2 linked regions of the Styela clava genome follow. Each later gene encodes a partner of the first gene's protein in a complex. Links are inferred from orthologs where the notes say so. Each region holds a gene or a part of one and is shown on either strand. Other genes may lie near its edges. The genes, in order: dynein regulatory complex subunit 3-like and dynein regulatory complex subunit 4-like.

Region 1 (10,137 bases):
AATTTCTCTCCTTTACCTTACATTTGGTAAAATGTGATAATCAATTAATCTGCAGTTATGGCAAATATAATCTAGAACGGCATTTTGCTATCATGTGAGCAATGAGCATTTTCAAATTTTGAGGGATTTTGCTTTGAGAACCCCACTGATGTTCGAACGTACTTATATTTGCGGGAGCACTTTCTCCGTTGTGAATAGTTCGAAATTTTATATCAAACATAGATATTTTGCATGTTTTAGCTTGATAAATGACAAATAATGATCAATTGTTTGCACAATAAAGTGTTTGTTCCTGTTTACCTATTTCTGACACTATTGTGGCCCACGAACAATACAAAAATAATTTTGTGGCCCGCGAAGTCGACAACCTTGGACCACCCTGCTCTATACCAAGTAGTGTCTACCTTTATTGTTGTGTAACAGATACGCAACAATAGATGCAAGACAGATACAATGTGACAAAAAGTAAACGACGTAGAAAGAATATTGATTCATATACACAGCATTTAGAATAAGAACCAATAAAACATTTATAATGAATACAATAAGTAAAATATTCAATCATATATAAGTTATGTTTTAACACAATTTTGTTAGTTTTCGAAGTGTACTTGGCAACTCAGTGTGGAGCACTAGTCAGAACCCTTCAGGAACAGCTGCCCTATATCACTTCCACATTCGTATAAATGAACAATACTCCCTGCTTCCTGATTTCATCTCACCTTTTCATTTTGTAATTCTTGTTCTTCTTCTTTTTTCCTTTCTAGTTCTTTTTCTTTCTGTTTTTCATTATGCATCAATTCTCCGAGCTTGTTTTCATAGAGATTGTGAGCTTTGTTCCTCTGTACATACAGTAAAATTTATATGAAATATGAAAGCACAGCTAATTTAATACCAAAATAAGTAAAAGTAAAGATGAAAAACTGTAAAATATGAACTGAAATTGTATGTAATGAAAAATTAATACATGAAATGAGTGACATTTTTGCTCTGAACAAGGTCATAGAAAAGTAGTTACAGACCTGGCTGGGCAGTAAGCGTTAGGAATACGCTCGCCCTGTACCTCCTATTACCCTGTGTTCGCAGGTTCGAATCCCATGCGGAGATATACCCCACATGGACTGGTAACTGGACAAGAGTTCGTGGTTTGCTGATTTCCTCTCCCCCGGAATAAATAGGTATGGTATGTAAATCCCAATCTATCTTTGTCGCACTGGATGAATGATGAGTATAGCATAGGGCTTAAAATTGAGCTATAGAACATATGACTTAATCATACTTAATAACAATGCACTAACAGAAATTGCATCTCATATAACCAACAACTTAAAAAATTCATAAAAAGTTAACTACAGTTAATTTCATTTTCACTGCAGATGAAACTAAATCACATACGCTTACCGTGTCTTCATCAATTAATCTGAAGTCCAAATACACGAGATGTGAGAGATAAGCGACAGTAAATAACCTATATCCTGGATCATCACATACGGGACAACCAGATAAATTCAATGTCCGTAAATTAGTGAAACGACGCAAGTAGATGAGCTGAAATAACATAATTCATAAAGGCTATACTTCAATATAATGTTGAGGAGACTCAAGCAGAGTCAATGACTAATGCACTGTTGTTCATGGAATACACTACAAATCGGGACAATAGCAATTTGACTGAATTTGTGACTTGACGTACAGTGACTTTAAATGGAACTCGAAGTTTAAATTTTGATGGACTTCGGATGACTCGGACCCTCAATTCAATCATTTTTGATTAAATATTGGGAAGTATTTGTTATAACTGATGTAGAAAATGCACAATCAGGGTTCCTCAAACTGGGCCCCCGCTTCATGTTAAAGTCAGAACTAGAAGAGCACGAGGTCACCGAAGGTCTTTGGAAGGATGCCACAAATCATAAACATTTGAAAAACACTGATTTAAATATTAGTTCCTTTCTAAAAGAAATACCAAATGAGCAAAAAAAATGAAAATTGCTCATTGAATCAACTTGAGTCTGATTACTGTATAATTCAAGGCGATTCACATGAATACTTCTTACATTGTCAAGCTGATTAAGCTTGTTATTTCCCACAGAAAGTACATGTAGATTTTTGAGGGAATCCATGTTTTCTAGTCGAGATATTCTGTTGCTGTACAAAGTCAGATCTTCTAACTTGGTCAATTTTGATAAACCTTCTAGCACTTCTATGTTGTTGAAAGACAAATCTGTAATTCATTGTATTTGAAATCAATATACAGTAATTAAAATTATATTTGAATACAAAAATAGGTTTACCAATTTATGATTGAAGCTTCTACTTCATGGTGAATTTAACTTTTTCAACTGTTATGTCAAAAAATTCCTTTCATTGTAAAATTTTTCTGACCTAAAGTCCTCCCCCCCTTCAAGATAATAAATGAATAAATAATAAAAAAGCAACGTAACTTGAGTTACATATGTCATTAAAACAATGATGGCAGGGAACACTAGAAAGAAGGATAGAAATAACATCTTATGATAAAATAAAGAGAGTATCATACCTAGCCATACTAAATTGACCAATTGATCTAATCCTTCAATTTTCTCAATAATATTGTCATCCAATTGTAATTTTGTCAGCTTTGTGAATTGCCAAAGATTATCAATCTTCAATATATCTGTAAATAAGTAAAAATAAAATGATGATACAAATTAAACAGAGCAGATAACTTATCCATTGCATTTATCACAAATGGGCATCAGTAATAAAGTTTTCTAATATTTGACCAAACTATCAAGAGCCATATTATTTAAGCTTTTATGGATTTAGCAAATGAGAAAAATAACTGCAAGATCTATGGAAAGATTGTAAATGAAAACTTGAGAGATAATTTAGACTGAAATTGACAGGTCAGAATATGAGTAGAAGGCTTCTACTTCATAAAATTATATTTACTAACACGTGTCAATCCTAACCCCTACCTGACAACACCATCCAAAAATGACGTCACTACGGCGTCACAGTGACGTAATAGAGCCCTTCAAACTATACGAACTGTCACCCAAGACGCGCAGAAGAGAACCCGAAATCGGACAGCTATTTCCCTCGTTTTTTCGCCGCAGCGATCCTGATAGGAGAGAGATCGCTGACGTTAGTCAGTTCTTCATCGTCGGCACCGATGCCATTTCGGGCGATCGGATGTGTGTTTGGCAAGCTCTATGACGTGATTGTGACGTCGTAGTGACGTAATTTTTGGATAGCGAAGTCAGGTGGGGGTTAGGACTGACTTGTAAAAAAATTGTTATGCTACGCCTAGTAGAAGTACAATGGGTACGAAACTACAGGAGACCCCTTTTTTCGAGTTCGGTAACACAACAGAGTGGAGCATGAAAATAGTTGACTCGTACAAACTTGTTAATTGTTTAATATGCACGACTTCCTAACTTCAAGTTTGAAATTTCATTATAATCACCACAAAATATGAATATTGTCCATTTAGCATAATATGTAAGATGTAATTTTTCCTGTTCCCTTCACTTAATAACTTCTATATGGTTGTGTGTGTGGGTGCGTGTGAGCGTGTGTGAAATATTTCAATTATTTTAGGTGAGTGAACACGTACCACATCTTCTTGGCAAAACCTTCCATCTTATATACATTCTGTACGTTTTAAACCTTATCTAGGGTTTTGTTCGCTCTCCTGATTTCATAATCAGTTTTTATTTATTTATTTTTAGCATTCATTTTATTGTTTTGCTGATTATGGAGTCGAAATAAACTTATACTTATTATACTTATAATATACCTAAAGTAAAAATAAAAACTAGCTAGCTAAGTTTTCAAAAAAAATTGTCTGTCATTGTATTTACAGGTTTATTTACCCTTTTTGTGATATATTTCGCCATAACGTTTTTACCACTTACTTCTAAAATCTAGTCTTAATGACAACACGTCTTTGTAATCAATTCCTTCTTGTTTTGCAATTCGACCAGCTTCTTCCTTCGGGCCTTGCTCTTCTACAGCTTTTCTGAGCATTTCATCGTCGATTACCGCAGGTTCAACGGTGTCATAAAGGCGACTCATTTTTGAATCAAATATATTCAAGGAAGGGAGATATGCAGAGGAAACAGAAAATGGAAAATCACGGCGCTAGCCGCTCACTACGAGCACCAAAAAAATAAGTGTTATTTGTTTAGTCTTTGGCAAGCACTTCGCGCTTCTGCGTTGCTATGGATTCGGGCTGTACTTTGCAAACGAAAGGATCCAAATTGTTGGTATAAATGTATTCACATAGATATAAAATACTTTGGATTGAATTTTTTTATGATATTTAAGCAAAAAAGGGATTCAGTATAAAATATCGTGAACAGATTGCCAATTTTTTCGCACCATTGGTTTTTATAATAACCATAGCAACCAGTCAAACGAAGCACTATCATCCAGGCATGACTAGTTGAAAAGGTTGATCGCGATTAGGAATGTAAGCATAGAATAGGTGTTCTATTTTCGAAACAAATTCTGTTTAGTGGTCTGTAGCATCGTGTTTTTGTTGAATTTAATTGCATTCGAACTATAGATAGGTTATTTTATGACTAGATAGCAGGAAATATGACTAGCAGGAAGACTTACCGGTACCGTAACACGGGTCGTCAGGTAAAAGTGAATGCGTCGAAATCGAACGCCTATTTTATTGTAGTCGAGACAAATACTGAAATATGCAGCTATGTAAGCTTTTTTTAAACAATAGCGGGTATAGGATTTTCATTTGATACTGACCGTCAGAGAATTCTCACAAATGTCGCTACTGATATATACAAAATGTGTTATTGTAGTGATTTTCTATAATTCTAAAAGTAGTGAGGTCTGAATGTCTTCCAGTGAGTCATGCCTAAATAGATATAATAGCAGTATCTTGGTCATTTAAAGACATCTTACTTAATTTAATGAGTTTTTGAGTAGTAGAGTAGATGTAGGGTGGTGTAGCCAGTCTGCGGACGATTTCATTCAAACCCCTATAAAACAAAAACCAATATTTCTAACCTGTTAATTTTTTCACCGTAGGTGCATTGGCATTCATTCTACACGCTGAACTTCGAATTAACTTTCTACGACCAGGGGTTAAAGCTATACAAACCACCAAAGTACGACACTCTGAAGACGTATTTGCGACCGAACGACCAGTGTGCGACCACGGATTTCAATCCTTGAACATCGTTTCTGCTGCGTCGAGACTAGATAATACGCAGCCATGCGTGAAAAAATGGGCTTCTAATTGCATTTCTGACCGTCATATATTTTAAGAATACGATTATTTCGAACAAAATTTTTCAAATTATAAACAAACACCGCATCACAGCAATCAAACAGACAAAAACACGGTGGTCGCAAATTAGTTGACAAAGATATTATTGACGTATTGGAAATGCGCACCCCCCTACTCCCCCTCCTTTGAAGGTAGAGACGCGAAACTTTAAAGATGGTTAAAAGAAACACAACTCTACCCACCTTCCAAGTTTCATCTTTTTATCTCTTATATTTGTATGGATTTTCAACCTTTTTTGAAGGAACAATGGGTAGTTGGCGACATGGTAAAATGGTCCGTTTTTTTTCTTCGGTCAGGTTTTCGGTCGTAACTTTTTCATTTATGGCCGCATTTTAGTGTAATTTCGTAGAGCTACGAGGGATAAGTGGACGATAACGCGTGAGAAATATCGGCGCGGTTCGTTAATTTTTTCGGCATTAATTTAATCGATGAAGTTGATGGTCGCAGATAGGTCATGGCCGCAAAGTGGGTAAGCCACCCTAAATGTAAGAATTTAAGAAAACTGAAGGAGACATGTTATTTGATGTTGTGACAACTAGACTTACTTCATCATGACATTGTCTCATTGCCCAATAATTTATTTAATAAAATTGAGCCATATTTTGGAGAATTGCTTCTTACCGATTTGAATTGGATTAAATTGAGTCACTTAGAAATTCAGAAACTCTTGATTGTGATGCACTGAGTGTTTGAAATGGCAGTGACTTTTTGTATAAACAAGGCAAACTAAAATATTCAGGTAACTGAATAAACTTCGGATTAATTTACTGGGTTTAACCCGGTATAAAAGTATCAAATCAATTCTTATAGCTATAGACATTCTCTGAATGACAGAGTAATTCTGATTCTGTGTTTTCTAATTATCACTAAGTAATATATCTTATTTTATGTCTATTTATAGTGTTAAATAGTTTTTGTGATTCATATCATACCACAAATATGTTACATGTTGACGATGGGGACGAAGAAAGTGGGCCTTCGGTTGAATCTGTAAATCCAGAAGAAAGAATCCTTGCTAGGAGGATCCGAATCCAACATAGAATCGAGCAGCTCAAAAGAGAAGCTCTGGGTGACGATGCTCTCATGAAAAAAGAAGTCAAAGAAGAACAAGGAAAGGGAAAAGAACAGATTGAAGAAAGTCGAAAACGCCTGAAAAAACTCCTTGGAGATGGTAATGAACTTGTAACAAATGTACGAGTTGCCGGTGATGCTCGTGAGTCTGGTCATCGAATTGTTGAAGAAGAAGCTAAACGAGCAAGGGTTGAAAAACTTGAAGCAGAAGCAAAGGCATCTGCTGAAAAATTCGATGAAATCAGTAAACGATGGTCAGCAGCTCGCATGAAGGAGATCCCTCAGGATTTACATGATATGTTGAAAGAGCAAACAACAGGTTGTGACGCTGTGATCGATGAAAAAAATAAATTGATAAATATTTTACAACAAGAGTTAAAACAAAAAGATGATGAATATGTCAAAGATTTGAAGAAGCAATCAGAAGATGTTGATCTCATTATTGAAAGAATGGAAGAACAAATTAAAAATCTAACAAAATCACACAGAGAAGAGCTGAGACAAATTGAAGATGCTTACACAGATGGTCGCAGTGATATGAACAAAGCTGATCGACGGAAATGGGATTCAATGATGCAGCAGAGACGAGATAAAGAAGAAGATCACATGAAACTGAGAGAAAAAAGAGTTGAGGAACATGAGCGCCAATTGGATCAACTTCGCACCCAGGATGCTGAAGAATATAACATGGTGAAGATTAAATTAGAAACTGATGTACAAATTCTGGAGCAACAATTGCAACAAATGAAAGCTACATATCAGTTAAATCAAGAAAAATTAGAATACAATTTTCAAGTCTTAAAAAAACGTGATGAGGAAAATACCATCACTAAGTCACAGCAGAAAAGAAAAATTACCAGACTTCAAGATGTCTTGAATAACCTTAGAATCAAGCTAGGAAAGCAGGAACGTTCATACAAAGATGAGAATCAATCACTCGTTGATGACTACAAAAGAATAGCAGAGCAATACAAGGAATTACATAAAAAGATGAAGCACTTCTCAGCAACTGATAACAAAAAATTTCATGATATCTGGTGTATGAATGAAGAAGAAGTACGAAAACTTGTTGATAAAGTTTTGAATACAGACTGCATCATACATCAGCAACAGCTTGGCTTGCCGTGGTCTGCTCCTGATACCGCATTCATGGATTCCCGTGGTCCATTGCTGGCAGCTACAGAAGGAAAGGAAAAATCTGCTTTGATGATGGCCAAAGAAGTTTTGGCATCAGTGGCAAAACCAAAACAGGATGATAGTTTGCCTTTGACATTTGATGATGAAAAGTCTCATTCAAGTACAAAAGTTTCTTTGAGTGCTGTTAAGAAAGTCTTGGAACTATTATGTGATGAGGCTGGATTTCTTGTCGAGGAAAAGTTGAACAAGCTGTTACGTCCCCTTCAAAATGAAGAAAGGTCATTGATCAAGCTGGATGCAATATTTAAAGCTTTAAATATCGAATCAGAGGATGACATCCATAAATTGGCAGCCTTTTTTGCTCAACACAAAGAAAAACTCAGTGACGAAGTGAGTGAATCATCTCTTGATCATGAAGTGTCATCTACTATGGACGGGAAAGAAAATATGCATCCAAATGAAGTTTTAAAGGTTTTGAAACAATTTGTTCAAGAACATATCAAACCTACAGAAAGAAGAAAATCGAAAGGTACAAACAAACTGACTGCACCAGGACGTGATGGCTCGCAAGACGAACAATTTTGGAAGTCAATGGCAAACATCATTCCAGAGCACAAACTGAAGATGTGGGATGCACTGACACAAGCGTTTGACAAGTATCACAAAGTACTCACAGAGAGAGATGTTAAAATAAAAGAAACAGACAGCCTTAGGCAACAGAATGCAGAACTGAGAATGCTACTCCACCAATACATCACTTCCGAAGTCAACAGAGAGCTCGAGATTCCACCAACTCGTGTCCTTCAACTTGAATACAGCTAAAAAACATGTGCTTCTCCTAATATTTTGCTCTTCTTTAACAATATTATTTTGGTTTTGTAGTCACTGTCGATTGTTTTTTCTATATATATATTGTTATCATCAAAACAATTATAAAAATTACCTTCAACAATGCGATGTTCAAATGCAATTCTTTATACCAATGATTTAGTAGTGAATCTTTACTTTAGTAGCTTTATTAACTATTTACCTAACAAAGGAACTACGCCTGAAACACAACCGGGCATAGATTCATTGTGAGGTGAAACTACACCGTAGACGTGTTTCAGCGCATTAGTCATTATATTTTAGTGGTATGTTAGTTGTTGGCTGATACCGATATTAAACGCAGTGGGTACAGCTTGTCCTCAATAAATTTTGAATGTAACACAAAGAATAACTCACGCAGGAGTGAGAGTTTTGAGGGCCGCCTGTTTTTATAATTATTGTTTGTATTCCTTCTGCTATGCTCATCTTATCTACCAAGATTTCATGTTATATTTTGATGTGTAAATTGAGAAAACCACATATGTAATTTATTTTAAAAGTTTGCGTTAGGGAGCGCGAAATACTTAATTAAGAAACATACGTATGGTAGGAAGTAATGTACTGATACAATAGAGATTTGTAAATAATTAGCTTTGAATGTCTTTCTAGACAACTTTTTGTATTTCAAGATTTGATTTTTCAGATAACCTCAGTTCATCGAAGCTGTCGTTCAAACTGTTTCTGATCTAGCAAGCTAATGTTTTGCCAGATAATCATAACTAAAACCAAGGTATTATTATCCGTGCACCTTAATAGTTTTTAATTTTCAACGTTTCGATCGGTATTCAATTGAGTGTTCTTTCGGTGCATTTTGCTTTGTTGGTGACAAAAAATCGTGTCGGTTAGAATGAGTGAATGCCAAAAAGAATGCTTCGGCATGCTGGGTAGGCATCGTCAAGTCATGACACCCACTCTTTGTGATTGCTTCAAATATTGCAGTGAGCGTTTTATCCGTGCATTTTTCTTTGCTGGTGACAAAAAATCGCTGCAAGCATCGGTTAGAATGAATGAATGTCAAAAAACATACTTCGGCATGATGATCGGACATCGGCAAGTCATGACACCCACTCTTTGTGATTGCTGCAAAAATTCCAGGAGAAAGAATTACCAATTGGCTCGACGGTGTGGCGCATCGTGCTAAGCGTTAGGAATACGCTCGCCACCGCATCTTTGGTTAACCTTCGTGGTATCGCAGGTTCGAATCCCATGCGGGGATGATCATGTGCGAGAGGATTGCTGGACTCCTCGCCGCCGTAGGGTGGTTCACGTAACCGCTGGTCGGTTACGGCTTCCCCCACCATCAAGTCCATGCTTCCGAAAAAACAAATACCTGGCTAACTAATCCCATACCCGACCTGGACTGGTAACCGGGCGAGAGGCCGTGGTTCGCCATATCATTAAGCCGTCTTATCGGATTTCCTCTCCTTCGGGATAAATATGTAAATCCTATCCTAATAATAATTATCTGATTTCATTTACCTGTCATATTGATAAACATATTTTAAAAAAATACAGATGTGGATTGTGGACCAAGGTCCACGAAGTTTGCCATGAACTTTAAGTTAATTTTTTTGTTCAACCAGCGAACGTCGAACTGAAAAAGCGCTCTTGAAACAATGTAACACACCACAACTTTCTGAAGACGATAAGTCAACCACCCCAGTCACATCAGATTATTGATGTTTACTTGACGTCAAATATACCTCACATTCCCATGCAGCAAAATTTCAATAGTTGGATAGATACCTGGGTTTACGAAA
Region 2 (9,833 bases), about 13 Mb from region 1:
CTTTCGTCGAAGTTCAAGTTCGTCCCGAAGTACACGCATCTTGCGCTCATATTTTGATTCAATTTCTGAATTTGTAAAGAAAGAAGACCATTGTTTCAATTGAATAGCTATTTTTCCAGCACTATTTACTTATAATTACGGAAAAAAAAGCTTTTTCACCTGTGTATTGTCACAATGTAAAATTATGGTTTGTGTGTTTCTAATTTAATGGTACAATGCGGCAACTACCATGTTTCCTAAAAATAAGTCATATTTCGATTTTCTTTCGAAAATTGACACTAGGGCTTATTTTTGGGTGATGTTTTTTTCAGTGGTAGAGAACAATAGGAAATAAGAAGCGCTTTTGTCACAACGCTGTTGAATTTTAAGCGCCGGTAGATAACACTAACACCTTGGGCGTCCAAGTAGGCCTACAGAACAGATAGCATTGATTACGTAACACCATGGTTCTCAAACTGGGCCCGGGCTACAAAACGAGAAATTCGGTATACAAAATTGGAAAACTGGTGTCAATTTACTTATAAATAACATGTTTCCATTTAAAAAAGACCGGGTTAGGTCTTATTTTCGGGGAAACACAGTATCAAGCCAAAAGTTGACACCGCATACCTCTTGCTTGTCTTTCGAAATCTTCTCTCAACTGAGTGATGTGTTCGTCTTGTTTCTAGGTTGAGGACGGGAAAAGAAATTGAGATATTTGGATACTATGAAAATATATAACATTCATAACAATACTAGAGGAGATCGGCTTAGAAAATTAAATTAAAACAGACTACCCAGGTACCTAGTACCCACAATCCTACAGTTGCAACACATTGCAAACTCCTATTAATTGACATATCGTTACACATCAAAGGTCAAAAACATAACTGATATCATGAAAATAGTATAAAAATAATGATGCATAGGGAAGTGAAAAATGTTGGGTAAAAAATGTTGCACAGCAATGTTTTTAAAAAGCAACTCAAAATTTACAGCTATTTGACAAAAGACCTATTTTTGATGGCAAAATCAATATAGCTTAGATCTGTACCTACACAGGGAATAATATTGCCAACCCCCCACCAAATTACTGTCCTTTGCTAGTGCGGTATTATTACTTGTGTTAGGTATTTCTAGGTAATTTACCTTTCATATATTCAAATTTGTCAATAAGTAATTAAAATTGAGCTTGTAATGAATCTGAGAAAAGTCCACAATCAAAATATATTTAAAATTACCATGTAAAATGAATAGTTTTCATTGAACAAAATAATGAAAAGTTAGTCTCATACCTTCACAAGATTCTTCACAGATTCCTCATGAGATAATTCCTGTTCTTTCAAATTGACCTTCAATGACCTTTTATCTTTTCTGAGGTCTGTCTCCTGTAACCTGTGATCTTCCTGCGATAACTTCAAAGCCACCGAACTCTCTGCTTTCAATTCTGAAATGTTGTTCTGATGCTCGTACAGAAGATGTTTGACTTTTTGCTTGTATACCTGGGATACACAAGATCAAATAAGACAACATAGATGGATTAGTCTGGTATTAAAATTTGGAGCAAAGCCCACACGACAATGACAAATGCATGAATAAAAACTAATTTAGAATTTTATAGACTTTTATGACAATAATATTTGCCATATCAGGAATCCCTAAAACTTATTTTATTAATGTTCAACCGTTTTATGATTTCAATAAAATATGCAGAGCCCATCATCTCTAAATTCCTTATATCTCTGTGGTCATATGTGTGTAGGACTTAATATTATAACTTTATGACAACATCTTTTTATTTGAATTTCGTTTTAAACCTGTTTTCACCTTGCCTAAGGTTTTGTTTGCTCTTCTGATTTTGTAACCAGTTTGTATATTTTTTTGTAACTATTTTTTGTCTGTTATGCTGATTATGTAGGTTAAAAACAAACTTTACATTTACTCTCAATTCGACTATTTTCACAAGTGGCTCAATTTTGCATGGCATATTACGGCAAAAAATACAACAGGCAGACATACAAATAGATGAAGGACTGGTTCACCATATAGATAGGTCGTCCTTTATAATGATGAATATAGAATTATATCCCAGTATATACAAATGAGACAAACTTTAATTTCAATTTGATGTCTTTCTTCTGAATCTTCCATTTCTCGATCTTTATTTCTCAATTCAGCTTTCTTCTCTTCCAATTGTCGCTTTGTGATTTCCCAGAATGTGTTGACCTGAAAGAAAATTTTTGAAAAATTTGATTAATTATTATAACCCTTACTTTATTATATACTTTGTTTTTAAGAAGAAAAATTTGCAACATTAATTACCAGTGTTGTGGAGTCACGAGTCACCATTTATCAAAAAATTCAATCGTCTAAAAAATGAAGTCAAGAAAATTTTATGATATCTATCACAATATCTTTTGTATTTCAGAGGTCGCCCATGAATTTGGTCCAAATTGAGTCTCATTTACATCTAAGTGATTTCACTTTTAATTTTAATTTTTCACATTTTCTTTTAAAATAAAGATTTAACACAAGGAAATCCATTGTTATTGACTCATAATTAGTAATTATTGCGCAATAACAATCAAAACAAACCTTATCTCTCTCAAGTTGAAAATAATTCCTTTCCTCTCTCTCTCTTTCCAATTCTTCACGAAGTCGACCAATGTGCTCCTCCAACTATTGAGAAGTGGATCGTGTGGATAAAAAGTGATGTTTTTATTAATAAATAAAAAATAAAAAAACTATTGAGAAGTATAAAATTTAAACAATGGGAAAGAACATTCAGCAAATATATACGGGTAGTTCAGTATCATGGATTAGTATATAGCATCTGCTTGTGTATAACTTTCAATTACTGCCTAACCGATTAGTTTTAAGTGATTCATGTCTCATACAGTCACTCAAAACAAAGCTTTGCAAATGCACCCACCCAAGTTTAAGAAGCCAATGGGCTTGGAAATTAAGGAACCATTTATTTTGATATCGCCATCGTAATTTCGCACATTCTGATGACTGGTCAGCCACGTCTTGTTGTTGAAGTGTTACGTGACATTTGAGGCAAATACGTAACAGAAAGTAAGCGACATAGAAGGGTAAAATGAATTCATTGATTGATACACACAGCATTTAAAATAAGAAACAATAGGACATTTATAGAACATTTAAAAAATGCAAACATATTTTAGTAATGTTTAACACAATTCCGTTAATTTTCGCGGCGAATTTAGCCACTCGCTGCACCTTTTGGGAACGGCTGATCTATGCCTATGAGGTTATAATACCCTAACAGCTAGCTCATGAGAAGCAAACAACACATGTCATAAGATCAATTACCAAAACTACTAGAAAGCCTATGTTAAATAAAGGTGCGACCCCCGGTTATACTGGGGTATTAATAATATCTGGCACTCCTCTTTAAAGTTTGCACACCCCTAGTTCATAGCGATACAACTATGTTTCAAAATTTAGATTTGAAACTGGTTTAAACATTACTTTATAGAACATACCTGCTCCTTTGACATTTCTTCAGTTGACATTCCATCTACGACGGTCGGGGTTTTGGGCTTTTTCGCAGATTTTTTGCCCTTTTTTCCCTTCTTCCCTTTTTTGGGAGGCTGCAAAAGCATGAAACAATTAGAAAATAGCCAACTACAGTACATAAATTTAATACTAGGCTTTATTCAATGATTTTATGGGTAGAGATTGCTTGATTTTTAATTCTAGTAATTTAATTTACTTTTCATTTCAAACTCCTTACTCCAGAAATTTTGGGTTGGACCATCACACTATGAAAAATCAAGAATGTGGCTTCATCTTTGACTTCAATGAGACAGAATAAGATAGGATAGGATTTACATATTTATCCCGGGGGAGAGGAAAGCCGATAATACAGCTTAACCATATGGCAAACCACGGCCTCTCGTCCGATTACCATTCCATGTCGGGTATGGGATTAGTTAGTTATTTGTTTTCGGAAGCATGGACTTGATGGTGGAGGAAGTCGTAACAGACCAGCGGTTACGTGAACCACCCTACAGCGGCGAGAGTCCAGCAATCCTCTCGCACATAGCCCTCCCCCCGCCTGGGATTCGCAGAGTAATTAGAGGTGCGGTGGCGAGCGTATTCCTAACGATTAGCACGATGAGCCACACCGCCACGCCGAAGATCCCGAAAAAAGAGGCATCAAGTAGTATTTTTATCTGGGGAGTATTTACAGATTTATTATTTTAAACAAATTCCAACCCTAGTCATTTAGACAAAAAAAGTAGAATTTCTAAGAAATGATAAGATTAAAACAGGGATAATTAAAAAACTCCCCCATTGTCCCGGTGCTAGAGCCGCCAAATCAATGGCTTCCTAAGCTCCAGAGTTGAAAATAGTCGGTTATTCATAACCAAGATTTTGAAATAAAGTTATATAACACTAAAACTTATATGACACTTACCATTATGAAGATTTGCCGTTCGAAATGCAACCAGACGGGAAAACTTGGAAGGCAACACCAAAAAAGTAAAGCAAGGCGAACAAGCACGGAAATCAAATTTTCTCTCGGTGTTACTATGGTAATTTTCGTATTTACGTGAGTGATATTTCACGCATGATATCTCTCAACAATGAACGAAAATGAGTTTTAAAAAATAAAATTACAAGGATTGGAATTAAATAGACATGTAATACATGTTATAAAAAATGTTTTACGTAATATAAGAGTGCAATCTAATACAAAAAAACTAATGTGAACAAACAAGTTCAAAAAAAAGGTCAGCGAGCCGTAAAATGTATATACAATTTCTGTGACTCGGAGCCGTGCGGGCGCGTGGCGCAATGGATAACGCGTCTGACTACGGATCAGAAGATTCCAGGTTCGAATCCTGGCGTGCTCGCTTTTTCATAAAATCAATTTGGGATCATTTCTTCCCTCATAATATAAAATAATTGTTAAATATTGTCTGAAAACAAAAATATCACTAAAAGACGAACCCTCGTTACGATATTCAATAAATTTATAAGTTAACTAACATAAATAAAAACAAATTAAAATATCTCACGACGGTCAATTTCTCATAAAATGCAATATATTGACTAAAAAAGCAAATATGATATGAAATGCAAGTTGAAAAATAACTACATGCGAAAGATTCAGATAAATTATTTTTATCATGCAAGAATCAATGCAAACACAACACAAAAGTGTATAACGTAACGCCGTACCCCCTTCTTATATTATTATATCTTTGGAAATGTTACGTGTAACCCATCAAATAAATAATCATTGTGATTAATCGAGGTAATAATCTATACACAGCCTTTGTTTTCTCATGACTCCCGAATGTCTTGTCATAATAGGAATTTCTCTTTTTTTAGGGGTCGGTGGCCATAGTTGACCTTGCAGTCTCGCCCGTCCCCTCCCGATTATATTCTATAATTGTTCTTTTCCATTTATTGTAATTTTACATTTTTTGATATATTCGGAAAATAAATCATTATCTATCATCTAACGGAATTGAAAACAAAATTGAAATATACACGTAAAAATAACGTCAGAAAAACAAGACTTTACAAAAGTTTGTGTGCGTCAAATACCTCCAACTGCCACCCATAGGTCAATTAGTTCGAGTTCAATATCTTGTTCAATAATAAAAGCATTTTTGCTTCGGTAACCGAATGCTTAAAACTTATTCAAAAATGGGACAGATAGAGAAAAGTGCGTCGACCGGGAGTCGAACCCGGAACTATTGCTTGGAAGGCAACAATGCTAACCGTTACACCATCGACGCGACGAGGTAGGTGAATCGAAATATTTTATATAAATAAGGAGAGAATTAAAAAAACGCCCGACATTCTCTCGATCGTAATATCGTTATTTGATTTAAGATGTATAAGTATATAAGTATAAGTATAAGTTTATTTCGACTCCATAATCAGCATAACAATACATTTGACAGATAAAACAAATAAATAAAATCTGATTATGAAATCAGGGGAGCAAACAAAACCTTAGATAAGGTTTATAACGTACAAAATATAAGATGAAAGGTTTTGCCAAGAGGAAGTGGTACGTGTTTACTCACCTAAAATTATCAAGTTATTTCACACACGCTCACATGCACCCACCAGCCACACACACACACAACCACTGAGAAGTTATTTAAGTAAGAATGAAACGCGATAAATTTAGGGTATACTATACAGTAAGCAAAAAAATAAATAAATAAATACTAGAAAAGAAAATTATCTGCCACACCATATTGATATTTTTGTAATGGTTGCCATTGCCAAATTGATCGATCTTCTAATCGTTAATTAGGTATATAAAAGGAAGATTCTATTGAAAACATATTGCCAAGCTGATTATAGTTGGAGTCAAATGCCAAGTTGCCCAACCAAAGTTGCCAGAATTGGGTGCATGAAGAGGTGGGCGAGACCATTTCATTCCCCAAATTAGAGCCTATTATTGCCAAATTATAGTCCAGATTGTAATAAGTAATTAAGTTACCGGTAACAGTAAAATTACTATAATTAAGTAAAGTAGGATGTGGAAATAAATTGGTTACAAAGGGTGTAAGTGAGGTTTTTCATTCTTGGGTATTGATTTCAGACAAGGATATGGGAATGAGGTTGTTATTTCACAGGATATCGGGAGTCTTTTTTGTTTTTTTCCTTATGTGTTTTACTTCATTTAATCACTTTGAAGTAACCTGAAAAACAAAAAATAAAACTGCGAGTAGATGTTTCAATGATTGGGTGAAGGGGAACGCTCTGAACTATTTATTACAGGCAAAAAATAATTGTTTAATTAAATGGGATGTATTGTCATTATATAGCGATGGATAGATGATCTATGATGACATTCTGCTTGGGACAGAGAAAAATTTATCACACCATGCAAAAAACACACAAAATTTTACTATCTATACCTTGGCCAACAAGTCAACTCAAACACCATGCCTTAACATAAAACGCATGCATACATAAATGATATAAAAACCACATCCAATTACAATGACCCACAGCAAATTAAAATCTGAAGGGGAGAATCCAACATAGCTCTACTGCTCGCCTAGTTGCAATAATTAGTAACCTTGCAGGAACAATATTGTACTATCTACAACCCTTATACCACCACTCAAACATAAGACCAAGCGTGTATGATAGGGACATCACAGCTAGAAAAAGATAAAAACACGAGCGTGAAGTGATAGAATGCGTGCAGTTATTTAAAGAAAATATCATCTGAGTACGTTAGCTACCTGTATATTTAAAAAAATATATATATACTCATGCATGTCACAATACCATTTCTTTGGTGCTGGACTAGTTCTGGCCAAGTCGTGGCAAGATATTATTATAGTCGTGGCACAGTATTATTATAGCTGTTCAACATTTTCATTAAAACAATAATGTGCAAGTGTGGAGTGTCCCAAGTTTTTGTCATCGAATACCACCAGTAGTAATTTTTAATATTTAATATTTGGAAACTAAATGAGACTTGACTTGTTTTTGAAAAGATTTTTTGGACTTTAACGTCTTCAAATTTAAGGGAAGAGAATTCCAAAGTTTGGGTCCAGTAAAAGACAAGGAATGCTGACTCACGGATTTACTCATGAAAGGTACGAATAAATCAGAACTACTTCTTCGGTTGGAGGTATTTTTGACAAGTATGTCATTAAAGCAATTGGGCAGCGCATTATTATGAAGTCGTGAGCTAGAGATAATATTTCAAATTTCATCATATCTTCAACCTTAAGTATATTTAGTGATTTGAAGTAAGAGTCTACACTTTCACGTTTTCTTTTACCAAAAACTATTCTTAAAAAATTATTACAAATACTCTGCAGTTTTGAGACAAGTGTTTTATTACCATGAAGCCAGACTGAACAACAATATCGAATATGGCTAAGTAGTAATGATTGAAACATTGCTAGTAGAGCTGATTGGTCAACACACTGGGATACTTTGGCAGAAACTGCTAGGTTTCTTTTTGTTTTAGCAATAACATGCATTATTTGTGATTTCCATGACAGATTTTCATCAAAGATAACTCCTAGAAATTTTATTTCTTTCACTCTTTCAATTTCATTGCCATTGAGCAGTAGTTTTTTTGAACAACTCACACTTTTATGCTTGCTTGGATGGAATAATACAAATTTAGTTTTGTTAGCATTCAGAGATAATTTATTAACTAACATCCAGCTATGAATGTTGGTTAGTTCTTGGTTTGCAACTGTGAATAGATCTTCAAGGTTTTCCCCATGAAGAATCAAGTTAGTGTCATCAGCAAACATGATCGACTCAGAGGATTTCAGACACCATGGCCATGTTTGACTACAAAGGTTAGAATTCCTCTCGCATCAATCCGCGGAATGATAAGACGGCTATAAGATAACGGAATAGTTTTTAGTTTTAAGGACTTGGAGTAAACCTCCATGCGATCACGGACAATTTTTGGGCGAAAATGAATAAAACGTCTTACCGACTTCTATTATTATATTTCTTTCATATTGTATTTAGTCTAGTCTACGATGACTAGGAGCCCAGCATAACCCTCTCTTCCAAGAAATCCGGGAAAGAGTATTTACGATAAGACAGTAACAACCCAGATAGCATGTGAATAACCGCAAAGCGATTAGGCTTACAACTTTGCGTCTCAAAAAAGGTCTTTCGTCAAAAATGTATTTTTTGGCAAACCTAGCTCTGAACTTTAGAGTGTGACATCTAGATTTTCTCAAAATAACTAAATTTTCTTGTCATTAGTATTATTTACTGGAAACTACTTTTATACGTCGTTTTATTACCTTCTTTCTGAACGAGGCCGTAACATAGTATGCAATATTTAGAAAGTTGCTATATTTTGGAACCTAACAGAATTGCCCACATAATTCATTGCACTCAAAACGAGGTCGTGGGAACTGGAGTCACATAAAACGCTTTGAGCCATTGATTGAAGAAACCGGGACAGGACTGCACTGATTGATGACCATTTGACAGATAATTACAAAAATACCAGCTTTTCTCTACAAAGTCAGTTTTCTGGATCAAACAATAATAAAAATTCAGATGTAGAGGCTGCAGCAACAGATTGTAATTTACATTCACAATATTTTGTAAGAACCATGTTTCACAGAAACAAGATTTGTAGCTTATGGAAATCATTACTTTAGCAAATATCAGGCACCCCATGTTCAGTCAGTGAACAAGAAGCATTGTACAACTTAAAAAACAGGTGATAGACATAATAAAATAGAGCAAATTCCAAACTTCAACTATAACACAACCAGCTTCACAGTTCAGCCAATCATGAATATTTTCTCCGGGACCTAAAAATTAATCAATTGTTTAAAATAGATAATTCTTTCTGTTATCATTCATTTAATATTCTAATAGTTATTTAAAACAGAATCGTTGTTTTATTCATTTTATCGTTCAAATCGTTCGTTTCTATGTAACAGAATCAAATATTATTAATAAAATGATAGGACACCCATTTAAAGTTCATTAGTCTCACCCTAAAATGAGATAACACCCTGCTTAATATACAAGGGAGGTTTTGTTCACTGTTGGGAATTCTCAATCTTATTATATCTCATAAACTATATGTCTAGGTTCTATGCAAGTTTACCGAAGGCCATAAACAACAATGGACTCTGGCGAACATGTTACAGAAAATAGGCTGCATTTAGTTTCAAGTGGAAAGCGAAGAGAAAGGAAAACATATCAGCAGACAGAGCAATATTTCATTGACAAAATTTCCTAAGAAATAAATATCAAAAAACAAATAAGTTACTCATACAAAACTGAACTCAAATGTACAAAAGGGAAAAAAATGTACAACATCTCAAAGTCAAGGATTC

The links.
Region 2: dynein regulatory complex subunit 3-like (region 1) and dynein regulatory complex subunit 4-like share a complex: the UniProt entries of both Homo sapiens proteins name them as parts of the nexin-dynein regulatory complex. The link is inferred for Styela clava from reciprocal best matches to the Homo sapiens genes DRC3 and DRC4.

The regions. Positions count from the first base shown.
Region 1 is NC_135262.1:17,137,988-17,148,124, forward strand, and holds the start of dynein regulatory complex subunit 3-like, read right to left. Parts: upstream 4,240-10,137; 5' UTR 4,063-4,239; coding exon 3,903-4,062; intron 2,657-3,902; coding exon 2,540-2,656; intron 2,225-2,539; coding exon 2,058-2,224; intron 1,549-2,057; coding exon 1,402-1,548; intron 843-1,401; coding exon 723-842; intron 1-722. Other genes in the region: dynein regulatory complex protein 1-like, read left to right, coding at 6,242-8,332. UniProt on the Homo sapiens protein: Component of the nexin-dynein regulatory complex (N-DRC) a key regulator of ciliary/flagellar motility which maintains the alignment and integrity of the distal axoneme and regulates microtubule sliding in motile axonemes.
Region 2 is NC_135262.1:4,091,940-4,101,772, forward strand, and holds the start of dynein regulatory complex subunit 4-like, read right to left. Parts: upstream 4,584-9,833; 5' UTR 4,430-4,583; coding exon 4,427-4,429; intron 3,597-4,426; coding exon 3,489-3,596; intron 2,659-3,488; coding exon 2,575-2,658; intron 2,206-2,574; coding exon 2,092-2,205; intron 1,482-2,091; coding exon 1,275-1,481; intron 665-1,274; coding exon 610-664; intron 66-609; coding exon 1-65. UniProt on the Homo sapiens protein: Component of the nexin-dynein regulatory complex (N-DRC), a key regulator of ciliary/flagellar motility which maintains the alignment and integrity of the distal axoneme and regulates microtubule sliding in motile axonemes.